3 linked regions of the Oryctolagus cuniculus genome follow. The protein of the gene in region 1 interacts with the protein of each later gene in a pairwise test. Links are inferred from orthologs where the notes say so. Each region holds a gene or a part of one and is shown in the gene's direction. Other genes may lie near its edges.

Region 1 (5,237 bases):
CGCAACACAGTCCTTCAAAGCTGTCACCACCGCTGAAGGGGCTGCCTGCTGTGGGTGCAGGGACCTTGAGCCCGCTGGGGGCAGGGGGGCAGATCCTGTACAGAGTGTGCGGAGGCAGCAGGCAGCATGAGGAAAGCCCCTTTGGGCCGCAGCCCCAGCTGCTGCCCTGCTGACTCAGGGAGCTGACGGTGGAACTCTGAGCCCTGCTAGGGCCTGCTGCCTCCTGCCCGCCCGGGCTCCTGGGCTTGGGAAATGGAGGCCTGGAGGCAAAGGGAGGAACCTGAGACAGGAACTGAGTCAGGAGCAACAGGCCAGAGCGGGCAGGAGGTGTCGGCTGCCTGGCTCCCGGATTCATCCCTGACCTGCAGCCCAGCGGGAGGAAGAGTGAGGGCCCCCCTCTGCCTCGCTCAGGGCTGAGCTGAGGCAGTCACGGCACGTGGTCTAAACCAGGCCCCTCCTTGCATTCAGAAGAAGCTCCGAAACTCCCACGCCTGCTGGGCTCTGCCTTCCAGGTACCCCCAACCCCCCCGGACTTGGGGAAGCCCAGGGAAGCCCTGGCTGGCTGACTAGTGCGAGGGAAGCTCCCTGAGGGCCCAGAGCCTGCTCGGTGGAGAGGGGGCGGCAGAGCTGAGTGCACCTGACAGTTCATCCCCTGGAGAGGGAAGCCTGGGCAACTCTGCCCCTCTCCCCTGTGGGCAGGGCCCGGTCTGGGGCCCTTCCTCACTGCCAGCACCCAGCTCTGTGTGTATATGTCTACAGAGTTGGCTGGATTTCTTCACGTAGCAGTAGTCACCATCCACTCTAGCAAGAGATTCCCACGAACTCATTTAATGCTCACAAAAGCCTCACCTTACACCGCCAGGAGCTGAGGCTCAGAGGGTCAGCCACCGGCTGACAGCACCACAGACTCACACAGTCTGATCCCAAAGATGCAAGGCCGCTCTGTCTTTCAGAGCAAAATAATACACATGCAGCAAGAATAACAGAGAATAAAGGTGAAGAGGAAAAAAACCACGAAGTTTCACTAGCAGATACTCTGGCTAAACTGGTACTCGAGCCTAGTTCCTTTCCTTCGTCTTCTGCGTCAGCGCTCCGATTTGAGCAGAGCTGTCAGGATGTCAGGGCCAACAGCCTGTCTGCTGCCTTGGGAGGCCTGGCCCAAACTTGTCCCTTGTGGCAGAGAGCCAGATGTCGTCCTGGATCCTCAGGGTTCTGGCCCAGGCCACTCTCCAGGAGGCAGGTGAATGTTCAGACACTGAGAACCGGCCCAGACACAGGCCTGTGAAACGGTCCCAGCTGAATCCCAGACGGGAGCCGCACCCCTGAGTCCCAGCTAAGCTTTGGCTAGGGGCAGGGCAGCTAAACAGGAACCCACCCTCCTTGGCTCAGTGCCAACGTGAAACTCGAGGACTGGGTCCCCACACGCAGGGACAGAGGTTGGCGACGGAGGTCTCCAGCTCCGACACCTCTGCTGTGGTCAGAGCTGGGGCCGTGGTCAAGTGCAAGGGACATGGAAACTTCTGGGAGACAGGCTGGGGGGAGGCGTCACTCAGCTTCCACGGCTGCCCCATAAAACAGTGTGTGTCAGCGCCACCTCCTTCTCCTCGGCCCCGTCTCTCCCCGGGGTTGCCTGCGTCCCCCCTGGGGGACCAAACTGGACTGAGCACCCAGGTGGCCTGCTTCCCAGCCTCTGACAGAGGACAAGCTGAGTCAGGAAGGAGAGTGGGACCCTTCGTGAGCCCTGCTGCTCTGTGATGGCAGGCGGCGTGGAGGGGGCAGCTGACCCGGCCTGGAGAGCCTCATGGGAAGTCCTCCAACAAGTGGCAACAGGCCACCGACTTGAAAGGGAAAATTGTGCTGTGAAGGGGAAGGTGTCCGACGAACCTACTGGGTGACTAATTACGCAGGCCCGGCTGGAGCCTCGGAGGCCGCTCGTTAAACACTTCGTTAAGTAGCACCCTGATAGCTGCCACCCTTCTGGGAGCATTTGGGAGCTCGGAGGGGACCCTGCATGGCTGAGGCCCTGGGGCTGGAATTGTCTCCCAGTAGACTCAGGAAGAAGCCTGGCCTCACTTCTAAAAGTCTGGAGCTCCCCGGTCAGAGGGGGCAGGTGACCTGGCATGCAGAGCCCATAGGAGAAAAGCCCAAGGAAGCTGGGTGCAGGAGAGAGCTGCAGGGACTTGGCAGCTGTGTGGCCCTGAGCAAGTCTCACAGCCTGAGAGTGAAGAGGCTCCCACACCACGTCAGGGCTGCACACCTCACAGTCACGGTGGGGACTGCACCCAGTGAGGACTAGGGAAGCGCTTGGGTTACCTCGCCTGAAGGGGGGGGGCAGTGCACCTGGCCGGATTAGCAGCCCCATCTTCCTGCACCCACCTGAGCCCACAGGCTATGCCAAAGCCGAAGCTGCCAGGTGGCTGAAGCCGTCCTTACCTCCTGGCAGCTTCCTAACGCGGGTGCTGGACAGGAGGGGGCAGCCTGGAGCCCAGCAAGGTGCCCGCACAGGTGGGGCCCACGCCCAGATTTCTCCTGCTGACTGTTCCAATGACTCACCCCCACATCCCGGCCCTTTTACCTTTAAGGAAGAGCCGGAAAGGGTGTGGGGAGAAGACAGGGAGGCAGGTCCTGGGCCCCAGTCCCGCCCCCCCGCCCCTCCCCACCCTTGCCTAGGCCAAGCCACCCAGCCAAAAGGCAGGTTGAGAGCAGCAGAGGCACAGAGTCCAGCCTTGGTCCCCAGGCAGCCAGCTCGCCCGCCGCCCGTCTCTCTGTCCCCAGAGCCATGGAGAGAGCCAGTCTGATCCAGAAGGCCAAGCTGGCCGAGCAGGCTGAGCGCTACGAGGACATGGCGGCCTTCATGAAGGGCGCGGTGGAGAAGGGCGAGGAGCTCTCCTGTGAAGAGCGAAACCTGCTCTCGGTGGCCTACAAGAACGTGGTGGGCGGCCAGAGGGCGGCCTGGAGGGTCCTGTCCAGCATCGAGCAGAAGAGCACGGAGGAGGGCTCGGAGGAGAAGGGCCCGGAGGTGCGCGAGTACCGGGAGAGGGTGGAGAAGGAGCTCCGCGGCGTGTGCGACGCCGTGCTGGGGCTGCTGGACTCCCACCTCATCAAGGAGGCAGGCGAGGCCGAGAGCCGCGTCTTCTACCTCAAGATGAAGGGCGACTACTACCGCTACCTGGCCGAGGTGGCCACCGGCGACGACAAGAAGCGCATCATCGACTCGGCCCGCTCCGCCTACCAGGAGGCCATGGACATCAGCAAGAAGGAGATGCCGCCCACCAACCCCATCCGCCTGGGCCTGGCCCTGAACTTTTCTGTCTTCCACTACGAGATCGCCAACAGCCCCGAGGAGGCCATCACGCTGGCCAAGACCACTTTCGACGAGGCCATGGCCGACCTGCACACCCTCAGCGAGGACTCCTACAAGGACAGCACCCTCATCATGCAGCTGCTGCGAGACAACCTGACGCTCTGGACAGCCGACAACGCCGGCGAAGAGGGCGGGGAGGCTCCCGAGGAGCCGCAGAGCTGAGCCGCCCGCCGCCGCCCTGCCCCCTCCGGTCCCCGACGCCCCGCGGAGAGGACTACTACGGGGTGGGAGGCGCCCCCCTTCTCCCCCTCGCTGCGCCGCCCCGGCTCCCAAAGGCTCCCTGGAGAAGGGAGCCGCTGAGCCGAGGCCGCCCGGGGGTCTCGCTCTCCCTGCAAGCCGCGGGGCGCTCCCAGCCCCTGGCCGCCCCCCCACCCTGCTCTCCGCACCCCTTCCCCTCCCGCCTCGCCTCCCTCCTGCCCCTGCGGCTGAGCGCGGCGCCGGGCGGCAGAGGCGGGAGCTGGGGTGCGCGTGTGACTGTGAGTGAGCGAGAGGGAAAGCGTCTGTCTGCCGGCGGTGACCGGCTCGGCTCAATAAACTCCCCGTGACACTCAGTCCTCCGGTCTTCTGCAGTTATTGGCGCTGGGCTGGGAGATGGGTGGGAGTGGGCTTTGCACAGGCCCCGATTTCCCCCGCGGCTGGCCCAGCGGCCCGCGGGCGAGACCTTGCGGGGGCGCAGCCAGGTTCGAGGCGGGGGCCTCTCCCCGCTCCGGGTGGCCCCACACTGGTCTGGTCCCGGGAGGGGCGGAGAGCAGAGGCAGCACTGAGGCGCCTCCCTCGGGCTAGGGGAGCGGGTGCCTCAGGTGTGAGGTGAGGCCGCGGGGTGCTGCGCGGAGCGAGCGGCACGGAGCACCCCACCCTCGAGAGCGAGTGAAGGGTGCACGACCTGGGGCAGAGGCACGGCGCCGCCATTAGATGCCCAGACCTGAGGAAAAGAGAACGGCCCCCCGCCCCCAGCAGCGCTCGGGGATGCGGAGGAGGCACCCGCTGGGTGGGAACGGCCTCGGGGTGCCTGGCTCGCTGGACCCACAGCCTCCACTCCCGGCAGGAAGCAACACGCCGGGACCGGAGGCTGGCGCGCTCCGCCAGCCGGCACCCCTGGAGGCGGGGCCGGAGGCCGACACAGCCCAATCACAGGAGAGAGTTTCACGGGGTACCGCCCTCGGGGCGCAATGGCCCAATGAGGGAGTGAGCAGTGGAGCCAGCGCCCCGCCCCCCGGCGCGGCTGCTCGCAGACTGACCGAGCGGCGTCCCCACCACCCGCCGGGCGCCGAGGGGGCGGTGCTTTCCAGGTTTCGCTCAGACAAGTTGCCACCCGCCCGACCCGGGAGGCGGCTTCCTCAGGGCGGCGGGACGGGGCGGAGCCGTGCGCAAAATGCAGCCCCCGCCCTTTGAGTCATGCGTTCACCAGGCGGTGCCTGGGCTGGGCCGGGCTGGGCTGGGCTGGGCCGGGCCGGGCCGGGCCGGGCTGGGTCGGACGGGGCGGGCCGGCAGGCGCGGCTGGGAGAAAGCCCGCAAGATGCCCCACCGCACTTCAGAGTGGAGGCAGCCTGGCCTGAAGGGGGCTTGGAGTGTCAAGGACTGCCACCTTGGAAAAGCCCTGGGCCTCAGTTTCCCTTTTGTGTCATAAGGGGCCTGACCAAAAGGCGCTCTGACGACTGGGATCGACTCCCAGCCGGCCTTGCTTGCCTTTTCAAGGGAACACTAAAAAAGCAGTACCTTCCGGCCAGGCACTGACAGCAGGTTAGGCCTCCGCCCGCAGTGCCGGCATCCACGTGGACTCGGGTTCGAGTCCTGCCTGCTCCACTTCCAGTTCGGCTCTCTGCTGTGGCCTGGGAAAACAGCAGAAGATAGCCCAAGTTCTTGGTTCCCTGCA
Region 2 (6,040 bases), on another chromosome or scaffold:
CCTGTGCCCAGCGTGTGCCGGAGGCCTGGCAGGGGAGGGGCTCTCAGAGGTACGCGGCTTATGAGGGGAGGGCCACCGCATGTGCAGGTCCTGCTGGGAAGCTGGGCCCCAGGCAGCCACGTGGGACACAGGCACAGCTGAGCTGAGTAATGAGACCTGATGACACGGAGTCTGGTCCACTGGGACTCCTGTGGTCCCTGGACGGCTCAGAGGCAGCTGTGGAGAGGACGTGGGGCCCAGGGACACAGCTGCTCACCTCTGTGGCACAGCGTCCACGTGGTTTGCTGGGGGCTGTCAATTCAGCCCGCCACAGCTGTCCTGCGTGCAGTGTCCACTCCCAGCCGTCTGTGCCCCGTGGCCGTTGGGCGGGACTTCGACCGTGTCGTTGATGGCTGTAGGCCCACTCAGTGGCCTCCTTGAGTTAATTTTGGGTTTACATTTTATGGGAAGTTCATCCTTTCCTGCTGTAGCCCCCACGGCCGCCCGCGCACTCGTCCTTGGCCAGCACGCCGGGACAGACCGCGTTCAGCCCTCGCCCTCTCAGAACATGTCTGCGTCTGCTCCTTCTCTGTGTCTCCATCCTCCGCCCCCTTGCTAACTTCTTCACCCCCCACCCCAGTACTGTTTTCTGAGTGTGTGTGGGAGGCCCCACACAGCTCCTCACATGCGTGCCGTGTTTGTGGTCTGAGCACGGCCTCGTGTCCACCGTGACTTCCTCCTTGCCTCGGGAATCACCGTGCTTTTAAATTTCCAGACGTAGGGGCTCTCTCTGTTGCCAGTCTCTAACCAAATGCACCGTGGTCAGAAGAGGCCTGGCTGGCGCTTGTGTTCCGTGGAACGTGTGTGGTGGCTGCTGTGGTCAGTCCACATGGCACTGCACACGTGTTTGGCATCACATGTGTCTCCAGCTCTGCAGGACTTGGTTTGTGTCCCTTACCCATGCTGCCTAGTTGCACATTTTTGTTTCTTCACCGGTTTTTGTCCGCTTGGCTGCTGGGTCTAAGACGAGTGGGACGCTCCCCCGTGGAGGCAGATTTACCCCCGTCTGCCTGCGTGCATCTCGTCGTGGCAGAGGGGCCCTGCCCGCGTGCACGTGGTGCTTGCCTTGCACCCCGTGTGCCACGTCTTCCAGCACTGCGACCCAGGGGTCTTGTCCTTGACCATCAGCCCCTTCGGGCCGCAGACGCTGCTTCTGCAAAGGGCATGAGGCTGGCTGTGACTCGCTCCCTGCAAGCCACACGTCCCTAGTTCCACTTGACCATTACTCAGCCCATTTCCTTTGTGGTCATTTATTTGAAAATCAGAGTTACAGAGAGAAAATGAGATGTCCCATTCTCTGGTTGATTCCCCAGATGGCCACGGCAGTCAGGACTGGGCCTGGCTGAAGCCAGGAGCTTCCTCTAGGTCTCCCACGTGGGTGCCGGGGCCCAAGCACTTGGGGCATCCTCCGCTGCTTTCCCAGGCCATCAGCAGGGAGCTGGATCGGAAGTGGAGTGGCCGGGACTCGAGTTGGCACCCTTATGGGATGCTGGTGTTGCGGGCGGCAGCTCCACCTGCTGTGCCACAGCGCTGGCCCCTGTTTATTTTTTTGAAATGCAGAAAGAGAGAGACTGTGAGAGATCAGTCTTCCATCTGATGGATCACTCCCCAGGTGGCCACAGTGGCCAGGACTGGTTCAGGCCTAAGCCGGTGCCCAGATTCCATCCAGCGCATTGCATGTGGTGCAGGGGCCCAAGGACTTGTGCCATTTCCTCGGCTTGCCAGGCGCGGGAGCTGGGAGCTGGGACTGGAGGCCGAGCAGCCAGGATGCTGGTTGCAATGCCAGCTCCAGACAGCGCAGACGCTTCTCTGGCTGCACCGACAGCACCAGGCCACGCTTCCTGCGGCATGCCCGCGTGCCTATCGGCTCCCTCGGCCCCTGAGGTTGTCCGCCTGGTGTCGCCATCCTGCCTAGGCATGGATTTCCCTTCCTGTTCTGCCTGCCGGGTCTTGCCCCTCTCCCAGGCTGCAGGCCCCAGGGCCGGAGCCCCGTGTCTGGCTGCCCCTCGTCCCTTCTCCCTGTTCCCTGAGGACCTGCGGGCAGCCGCACAGACCCCCACAGCCCACCCTCTGGGCTTGCTCTGGGCCACTGCCTCGGGTGCCCCTCCACACGGTGTTCTCCTGTCTGGTCTCATCGCGTGCCCAGCTTTCTGCTGCCACGCTTGGATTGCTAATTCATTCTCTCTCTCCCTCTCTCCCTCTCCCCCTCTCCCCCTCTCCCCCTCCCCTTCCCCCTCCCCCAAGTCTTCCAGGTCAGGTACCGCACTCTCTGGCTTTTCCTCACACATGAGTGTTTTCCTGTGTGTTTGAAGTGCAGTAAGCGTGTTTTAAGTTGTAACTGACGGTTTCAGTGACTGCAGTCTTGGGGGGTCTAAACCAGCTCGTTTAACTTTTGATCTCTGGGAGGTTTTAAGGTGTACGGAGCCCTCGCGCCAGTGCCCTCCTGGGCGGCTTCCTCTGTGCTGGCCTCCTCCTTGAGCCCCAGTCACCGTGCACAGCTCAGAGACCAGCTCCAAGCCGAGCCACACCAGGGACGGGGCAGGGGCAGGGGTGGTGTACAAGTGATCAGGATTCTCCGTGGAGGAGTCTTACCTCCCCGGTTGGCCCCTGGGTCATTCACAGGTGTCCCTGTGGACTCGCCTCTGCCTGTCATTCTGTGCCAACAGGGGATGGGCCCAGGAGGGCAGGTGGGGGGATGGCCACCAGCGGCCTGCAGGAGATGCGGGAGCAGAGCGGGTGGAGAGGAACACGATGCTCCTAAAGCACACTAACCGCTTCCCCTGGCGTGGCCCGGGGGCGGAGAGCAGGCAGCAGCTCGCGCCCGGGCCCTGTCCTCCCTCCACCTGCCGGCAGGAGCGCCGGGAGCCCGCGGCCAAGGCCGGGAGGAAGTGAGCTAATAGATTCCCGCGGCCACGTGAGCCTTTCTGAGTGTCCTCTTCCCTGCGGGCAGACGCACTCCACGAACGGCCCGGCAGCGGGCAGGGGCAGGGTTGGCCCCGTGCTGCGACAGCCACGTTGGCTGGGTAGCCACTGTGTGTCCCTCTCTCTTCCAGCTCGACCCTCTGCCCGAGCAGGTGGTCCAGCAGAGACCCAACGCGAACGCCGTCCGCTCCATGGAGAAGGTCATGGACATCCACAGTGAGTGGTCGGGCCCAGCCGCTGTCAGCTGGCCTTTGCTGAGCGGGTAGAAGCAGCCACAGCCTCCCGTGACGACACATTACCCCACTGCACAGGCCAGAGAGCGGGGGCCCCAGCAGCGCCGGGCAGCCCAGGGCTGGGGGCCCGAGTGGGGGGCTGCAGGGCAACCTCCTACCACTGCCCTGTGAGCACAGGCCCTGGGGGACCCCTGCCGGCTCGCCTGTCTCACACGTGTCCGCGCCGCAGATCCCTGTTTATCTCTGGGTCTCGGAGACCCGAGTGGGCAAGGCCCTCCGAGAGGTGGGTAAAGCCAGACATCGGCTCCCGGTGTGCCTGTGCGGGGGCTGGGTTCCTGGCCTAGAGCCGCTTCCAGCCCCGGGCACACCCCCAGCGTCTGTCAGTCCCAAGGCAGGGGCCCCACGGGAGCCCCCACCCCCAGTCCCACGAGGTCCCAGACATCGGCTCCCGGGTTCCTGGCCCAGAGCCGCTCCCAGCCCCGGGCACACCCCCAGGTCTGTCAGTCACTGCACTTGCGGGGACCTGTAGGTGCGGAGGGAGCGCCAGGTGATCCCAGGCAGGCTCGATGCCCCTGGCTACCCGGAAATGTTGCCCAGACGAGTGGGCTGGCCTGCCGCTTCAGAGAGGTGCTTTTGACTCGCGAGACCCCGGGCCCTGCGACAGCTCCTGCCTGGTCCTGAGTGCGCCTTCCCCGCCCGCAGGCAAGTACTGGCGCTGCCTGCAGCGCCTGTCCTCCACGGCCGGGCACTCCCTGATGGAGGCGCAGAAGTGCGAGAACGAGGAGGCGGAGACGGTCACGGCCATGGCCTCGCTGTCCGTGGGCGTGAAGCCGGCCGAGAAGAGGTGAGCTCGCGGGCCCTGGCAGAGCCTGGGAGAGGTTCCGCCCTGAGCAGGGGGCCGGGGCGGGGCCGGGGCGGGGCCGGGCCGGGCCCTGCGGTGACGGCCCTGTGGTTCTCTCCCCTCTGCCCCCTCCACGCAGACCCGAGGAGGAGCCCATGGAGGAGGAGCCGCCCCTGTAGCGCTCTGGAAGGCGCTGTTCCCTTGTTTGTTTGTCTCTGTCTTGAAGCTCAGCCAAGAAACTTTCCCGCTCACCCGCGTCTGCCGCGGTGCCCCCTCGAGTGCTGGGGCGCAGGCGCGTGGCCGCAGCGGGAGCCCTTCTGCCGCCCACACGCGGGCCTGGCAGCGTCCCGCGGAGCACGGGACAGACACGGCAGCGAGCAGACACACGGACACGCGGAGGCCAGGCACACCGCCGGCTCCCAGGAGGGAAGCCGCCAGAGGCCTGCGGCGACTCGTGGCAGGGTTGCCGGATTCAGTCGATGCAAGGAACAGAAAATGAAATCAAAGATCTAATAATGCAAAACAGACTTGATCAAAACTGGTGCTTCAAGTTCGGTTAGGACCCACAATTCCACAGTCTCCGTGTAAACCACTCAACTCATCTTGTAGCTCATTTTCTTTTTTTTAAGAGGAAGTTTTCTACGGCTCTGGCCCACCCCCGTGGCCCTCGGCGGTCTGCGGCGGGGGCAGAGCAGACGAACCTTTGAAGACAAAACCTGACAGAACCACAGTGCGAGCCCGGGGCGTCGGCTTCGGTTTCTCGAAGCCGTCGGAGATGCGAGTTTGTGCCTTTTTTTTATTGCCCGGATGGATTTTTGGGGCTGGGTTTTCTGAAGTCTGAGGAACAATGCCTTAAGATAAACTGAGCAGCAGGAATCGGTGGGACACTTTCCTGTGGCCGGTGCAGCCCGGCGGTGTGGCCGGACACGTGGAGAGCAGGCGCCAGCCGCCTCCCCCGGCGGCCCCGGCAGCCCTGGCGGCCCCGGCTCGCCTTTATTGCTGTTTGAGAGGAACGGAGGTCGTTCCAGAACGCGGCAGCGCCGCTGGGGGCTGCAGTCCAGCGAGTCGACAGGAATCCAAAGTGTTCTTGCCTCGTGCGCCCCGGCGCGGGCGCGCCCCGACCTGAGCATGTCCTAGGCACACTCGCAGTGTTGCGGCCGGAATGCTTTTTATGAAAAGCAAGTAGCATGAAGTATTGCTTACATTTTAGGTATAAATAAATATATATATGTATAATATATATTCCAATGTATTCCAAGCTAAGAAACTTGATTCTTATGAAATCTTGATAAAATATTTATAATGCATTTATAGAAAAAGTATATATATATATAAAAAAATTAAATGCAGGTGGAAGGCCCCGGGGAGCGCAGGACGCGTGCGTTGGCTGTCACGGTGCTCTCGCAGCGGGCTCAGCTCCCGGCCGGCCCCCGGGGCCGCCGCACAGCTGCCGCCACACGGCGAGCCCACGAGTTTGTCCTTTGATTTTAATTATTTTCTAAGGAAACCCTGTCCCTCTCCCAGCCTCCGTGCACATATGTACTTAATGAGTTTTTATAGCAAAGAATATAAATTTGCTGTTGATTTTTCTATGAATTTTTCACAGAAACAAAGATCCTGAATAAGCCTTGCTTTGTGGGTTCTCCGTTCTCCTCACCATTAGCAGTTTCCCAATGGCAGCAACGTCTGAACCTTTTTCTTTCCGTTTTCTACGCCTACTTTCTGTTTCTCGCCTTTGCGAGGTCATTTATCGTGTGTTTCTGTGGACGCCGAGGCAGCAGGCGGCCGCACCAGCGAGCGCAGGCACGACCCGACAGGCGCGGCGCCCGGCCCGGCCCGGCGCTGTGCGGGAGCCGCGGGCCGTGTCCGACCTTCGGTGAGCTCGGGGCCCTGTGCGCGGTCAGCATTAATGAAACTCCCCTGTAACCCCCGTGCAAGCCCAACCCCAGGTCTCGAAAGACCTTTGGAGCACGCGCGCGATGCGCGGGGCCGGGCCCGGGCTCTG
Region 3 (4,844 bases), on another chromosome or scaffold:
TCTGCCGGAGCTCAGAATTCAGTCTGCACCAGCGGGTGTCATTTGGACCACAGCCTGGCACTGGTGACAAGCTACTGCTGCCTAGGATCAGGGGCAGGCTGGGCTGGGCCGGGGCCCCCCGGGGCGGCCATGGAGCCTGAGGCCCAGAGCCCAGCTGGTGGGGTTTGGGCCCGGCCCTGCGGTCCAGTAGCTTTGTGACCCTGGCGAGTCACTCAGCCTCTCTGCCTGAATGTGATGGAGACGAAGGAGTTAACACACAGCCTTGCACCTGCCTGTGGTCACTCCTGGGCCGGGGCAGTGCTGAGCCTGAGCCCGCTCCCTGCTGTCTGCACGGCCTGCACCGGGCACTCAGGCCCTCTCCTGCCTCATCCGTATTTCTTTTTTAAATGTATTATTTATTTGAAAAGCGGAGCATTAGAAAGGTGGCCTCAATAGCCAGGGCTGGGCCAGGCTGAAGCCAGGAGCCAGGAGCGCCACTTGGGTCTCTCATGTGCCTGGCAGGGGCCCGGGGCGCCGGCCTCCCGTGTGTGCCTGGCAGGGGCCCGGGGCGCCTGGTCTCCCGTGTGTGCCTGGCAGGGGCCCGGGGTCTCCAGTGTGTGCGTGGCAGGGGCCCGGGCGCCGGTCTCCAGTGTGTGCGTGGCAGGGGCCCGGGCGCCGGCCTCCCGTGTGTGCCTGGCAGGGGCCCGGGGCGCCTGGTCTCCCGTGTGTGCGTGGCAGGGGCCCGGGGCGCCGGCCTCCCGTGTGTGCGTGGCAGGGGCCCGGGCGCCGGTCTCCAGTGTGTGCCTGGCAGGGGCCCGGGCGCCGGCCTCCCGTGTGTGCGTGGCAGGGGCCCGGGGCGCTGGGACCATCTTCTGCCGACTCCCAGGCCAGGATGGGGAGCCCAGGTGGAAACCGCCTCTGTGCCCCAGGCCACATCCCCGCTAGTGTTTAGTTTTGATTTTCACTTTATTTGAAAGACAAAGGAATCTTGGATGCACTGGCTCACTCCCGCGCAGGGCGGCCGCGGGCTCCCTGTTCCCGCGGTGGTCCTGGGAGACGGGGCTGCCCCACTGCCCAGAGGAGAGCAGGCCCTTCACTCGGCGCCCCCGACCCCTCGGAAGACGCCGTCGGGAACCGTGAGGGGACCCCGACCAGCGGCGGGGAGACCCTCTGGGTGGCTGCCTGGCGCCGTCGGGCAGGGTCCGGAAGCTGACCTCCAGGCTCCGCCCCAGCCCTGCCCCGGGCCTTCCCGGGGGCACACCTGGCTGGGAGCGCTGCCTTCTGCTTCCGGGAGTGGTTCTAGGTCTTTCTAAGCCTGGGGGAGGGGAGGGCTGGCGGAGCCGGCGGCAGACCCGGGCGCTCACCGAGCCCGTGCGTGCTGCGCCCGCTACCGAGCGGCTGAGGGCCAGGATTAGCGCCCCGTCCAGGGCACCCCAAGGTGCCCACCTCCTGGGGCGATCGGGTGAAGAACCCGAAGTGCCCCGGCGCCCGCACGCGCACCCAGCTCGGCGCGGCCTCTCCCTCTGCAGGGCTCGGGACGGGGTGCTCCGGGGCACCAGAGGCCCCGCCGAAGGCGCGCTCGTCGCCGAACCCACTCCCGCTGTGCCGGACGCTATGCGGCGCACGGTGCAAGCTCATTTCGTGCACGAGGCCTCGCTCGCTATCGGGCCTCGGTGAGGACTGGGGGGACTCCTGAGAACTGAACCGTCCCCGTCCGCGGAGGGGACCGGGCGTGCGGCCGGCGTTGGTGAGACCCACGCCGCCGCGCCCCAAACCCCTCTCCGCAGGCGCCGGAGCTATGGAAACCCGGAGCCGCCACAGCTCGTACCCTGCGGACGCGGACGACAGCGAAGGGGCCGAGGAGGAGCCCAGCCCCTTTCGGGGCCGCTCGCGCTCGGCGCCCCCCAACCTCTGGGCTGCACAGCGCTACGGCCGCGAGCTCCGAAGGATGAGCGACGAGTTCGAGGGCTCCGTCAAGGTGAGCGCGAGCCTAAGAGAAGCGGCAGCTCCAGGCTGCCTCCCAGCAGCTGGCCCCTTCCGGAGTCCCAGGGCATGCCGGGACCTGTAGTCCGGACCAACGCTCTCTGGAGCGCGGGGCATGCTGGTATCTGTATTTCTGGCCAGCCCCTTCCGGGTGCCTAGGTTCTTTAGCTCCGGCTTCGGAGCCGCCACTTTCACTTTGAATTGCGGTCTCGTCTTATAGATGCTAGTTCTCCGGCTCTTAACGGATTCTAGGCGGCACTTCCAGTGCGATACGGCCGGTTCGGCCAGTTCCCATTCCCAAGGTCCCAGCATCCTGTGCCTCCCGGACCGCTCAGTACGGGGCATGCTGGGAACTGTGGTCTTTATTGTTCTCCCGGGGATTCCGGAAGTGAGAGGACCCTGACCGGAACCGCCGGGGAAAGGCGACTCATTTAACCCTTTCCTCTTCCCATCCCAAAGGGACTGCCTCGCCCGAAGAGCGCGGGCACAGCGATGCAGATGAGGGAAAGCTCCAGCTGGACGCGCGTCATCCAGTCTTGGTGGGATCGCAATTTGGGGAAAGGAGGTTCCGCCCCTTCCCAGTGACCTTCGGCCCCACAGTCCCGAAACCCAGTCCGCTGCCGTCGGCGGCGGCGGCCATCTCGGGTGTGGGCGGAAGTCCCGCAGTCTGGACGCCCGAGCCCCTTCCGGTGCGTGCCGCAGCCGTCGGAGTCCCGGCGTTCCTCCGGAAGTGGCCCTGCGGCCCCGCCCGGCGCAGGTGGCGAGCCGGGGCTAACGGCTGCTCCGCCGGAACCTTCCCCCGCGGGGCGGCGCGGCCGACGCGCGCGCCCCAGGGCGCCAATAAAGCCAGCCTCTGTGCCGCCGAGTGTCCTCTGTCCGTCGTTTGGGGCCCCGAGGCCCAGGGTCGCGCCGTCACGGAGGCTGGGCGAGGGGCCGAGGCGGCGCGCGGCCGGACGCAGGGCCTCGTCCCCAGGGTGGCGACCAGGCGCCGCGGCCGCCGGCGGCCGGAACCCTGCGGGCTCCCCGGGGAGGTCACTGTTCCTAGCTGGGTCAGGCCCCGCGAGCGGCTACTGTGCGGCCGGCCGGGGGCCAGCGCCGCTCAGGGACCCGGCAGGAGGCGCGGCCCCGCGGGCCGCGAGTGGACCCCCATGCGGTGCCTCCGACGGGGAGACGGGGTCGGCCGTGGGGGCGCGGAGCCGGCGGCGGGCGCGCAGGAGGAGGAGGGCCGGGAGTGACCCTGGGCCCCTCGGCCCTGCTCCTCTGGCCTCCCCACCCCATCTGCCCGAGGCTGCAAAAAAAAAAAAAAAAAAAAAAACAAAACTAAAAACAGCAAAGCAAGCACTCGATTGGCGGAGAGCAGGCCCGCTAGCAGGCGGCTTCCTCGGGAGGAAGCGGGAGCGGAGAGCCGGCCTCGGGTGCCAGCCTGCCCTGCCCGCACCGGCGGCCTCCGGGCTGGCCAGCACGCCGGACTTCCGCCCTGGGCCTCAGTACGCTCATCTGTGAAACAGGCACAGCTCTCCCTCCTGCCGGGTACGCACGCCTGCCTTGGCCGGTTCTGAGCTGGCCCGGCCCGGCCCGCACCGCCAGCCCCCGCGCGGCCGAGCTGCCCAGCGGAAGGAGCTGGGTGCCTGGGTCACGCCAGGCCACAGGAAGGGGGGGCGGGGAAGGTTTCCTGAGCTGAGGCCAGGGCCTGGGGGAGGGAGGCGGGGACGGGGGAGGCCAGCGAGCCCCTGCCCGGGAGGAGCCCCTGCCCAGGAGGAGCGTCCCGGGGCTGACCTGCACCCCGCCAGCACCCACAGCCCCCAGAAAGCGCAGAGGCAGAGCTGGGGCCCCAAGCACGCTGCACAAGGGTCCCTGAAATGCACGTTTATTCGCGAAGAGTCCCCAGGGACTAAAGAAAGCCCGGGAGCCCCCCAGCGCCCACCTGCGGGACCAGGCCCCTCCCAGGGTGAGGCTGGGGGAGGAGTCCAGTGGAGCCCCTGAGCAGGAAGGAAGGGAGTTAGTGTGGGATGCTTGCCCAGGGCTTAAAAAAATAAAATTTCTAAAGATAAAAAGGTTTTTTGTTTTTGTGTGTTTTTTTGTTTTTTAAAAAAAGGACGCATTAGTGTGGTGGCCTCCCGCCCGCGCCCGGCGCCCACCCCGGCCCCGCGCCACCTCGCTCGGCCAGTTCACAGCTGCGTGTTCTCCTCCTGGCTCTCGGGGTCGGCGCCCGGCGCGTGCCCGCCCGAGCCCGGCGCGTGCCCGTTGCTGGCGCAGGCCACCAGGGGCCCGTCCCCCAGCCCCTCCAGCGTCCCGCCCAGCAGGCTGCAGCGGATCTCCTGGGGCAGCCGGGCCCGCCGCTCCTGGCACTCCCGGGCCAACTGGGCCAGCAGCTGTGGGAAGAGGAGGCCGTGGGAGGAGGCCGGGCCCGCGCCCGCCGCGCCGCCCGCGCCCGCGCCCGTGCCCGCGCCCCGGCCTCACCTCCGGCTCCTCCTCCGCCAGCTGCTTCAAGACCTGCTGCTGCCCCGCCACCAGGCGCTCGAGCCGCTGCTTCTGGGCCTCTTCCAGCTGTGGGGGCGGGGGGGTCAGCGCGCAGGGGCAGGCCCGGGTCCGGCCGGCGCTGACCCCGGCTCCTGCACACCTGGGAGCCCCGCGTGGCTGCCCCTAGCCCCCGCGTGGGACCCAGACTTGAGCCCCAGCATCTGGGGAGTGAACCAGCAGGTGAAAGACCTCTCTCTCTCTCTCTCTCTCTCTCTCTCTCTCATCTGCCTCTGCCTTTCAAACAAACAACTTAAAAAGCGATCAGCGGGCAAGGACTGCAACATGACGGCCCCGGGGACGCGGGAGCTGCTGCGGAGGTGGCTTCCGCCATGACGCTGGCACCAGGGGGCTGCCGGGTCCAG

Evidence for each region. The genes of interacting proteins can lie anywhere in the genome.
Region 2: the proteins of SFN (region 1) and HDAC4 interact in binary tests that used the Homo sapiens proteins (3 or more experiments, as listed by UniProt). The link is inferred for Oryctolagus cuniculus from reciprocal best matches to the Homo sapiens genes SFN and HDAC4.
Region 3: the proteins of SFN (region 1) and BAD interact in binary tests that used the Homo sapiens proteins (3 or more experiments, as listed by UniProt). The link is inferred for Oryctolagus cuniculus from reciprocal best matches to the Homo sapiens genes SFN and BAD.

What each region holds. Positions count from the first base shown.
Region 1 is NC_091438.1:144,639,867-144,645,103, reverse strand, and holds SFN (14-3-3 protein sigma), read left to right. Parts: upstream 1-2,676; 5' UTR 2,677-2,779; coding exon 2,780-3,526; 3' UTR 3,527-3,661; downstream 3,662-5,237. UniProt on the Homo sapiens protein: Adapter protein implicated in the regulation of a large spectrum of both general and specialized signaling pathways. Binds to a large number of partners, usually by recognition of a phosphoserine or phosphothreonine motif.
Region 2 is NC_091434.1:1,666,473-1,672,512, forward strand, and holds part of HDAC4 (histone deacetylase 4), read left to right. Parts: intron 1-3,092; coding exon 3,093-3,177; intron 3,178-3,896; coding exon 3,897-4,038; intron 4,039-4,174; coding exon 4,175-4,214; 3' UTR 4,215-6,040. UniProt on the Homo sapiens protein: Responsible for the deacetylation of lysine residues on the N-terminal part of the core histones (H2A, H2B, H3 and H4).
Region 3 is NC_091432.1:7,042,530-7,047,373, forward strand, and holds the end of BAD (bcl2-associated agonist of cell death), read left to right. Parts: intron 1-1,766; coding exon 1,767-1,957; intron 1,958-2,421; coding exon 2,422-2,547; 3' UTR 2,548-2,822; downstream 2,823-4,844. Other genes in the region: PLCB3 (1-phosphatidylinositol 4,5-bisphosphate phosphodiesterase beta-3), read right to left, coding at 4,131-4,334, 4,423-4,509. UniProt on the Homo sapiens protein: Promotes cell death. Successfully competes for the binding to Bcl-X(L), Bcl-2 and Bcl-W, thereby affecting the level of heterodimerization of these proteins with BAX. Can reverse the death repressor activity of Bcl-X(L), but not that of Bcl-2.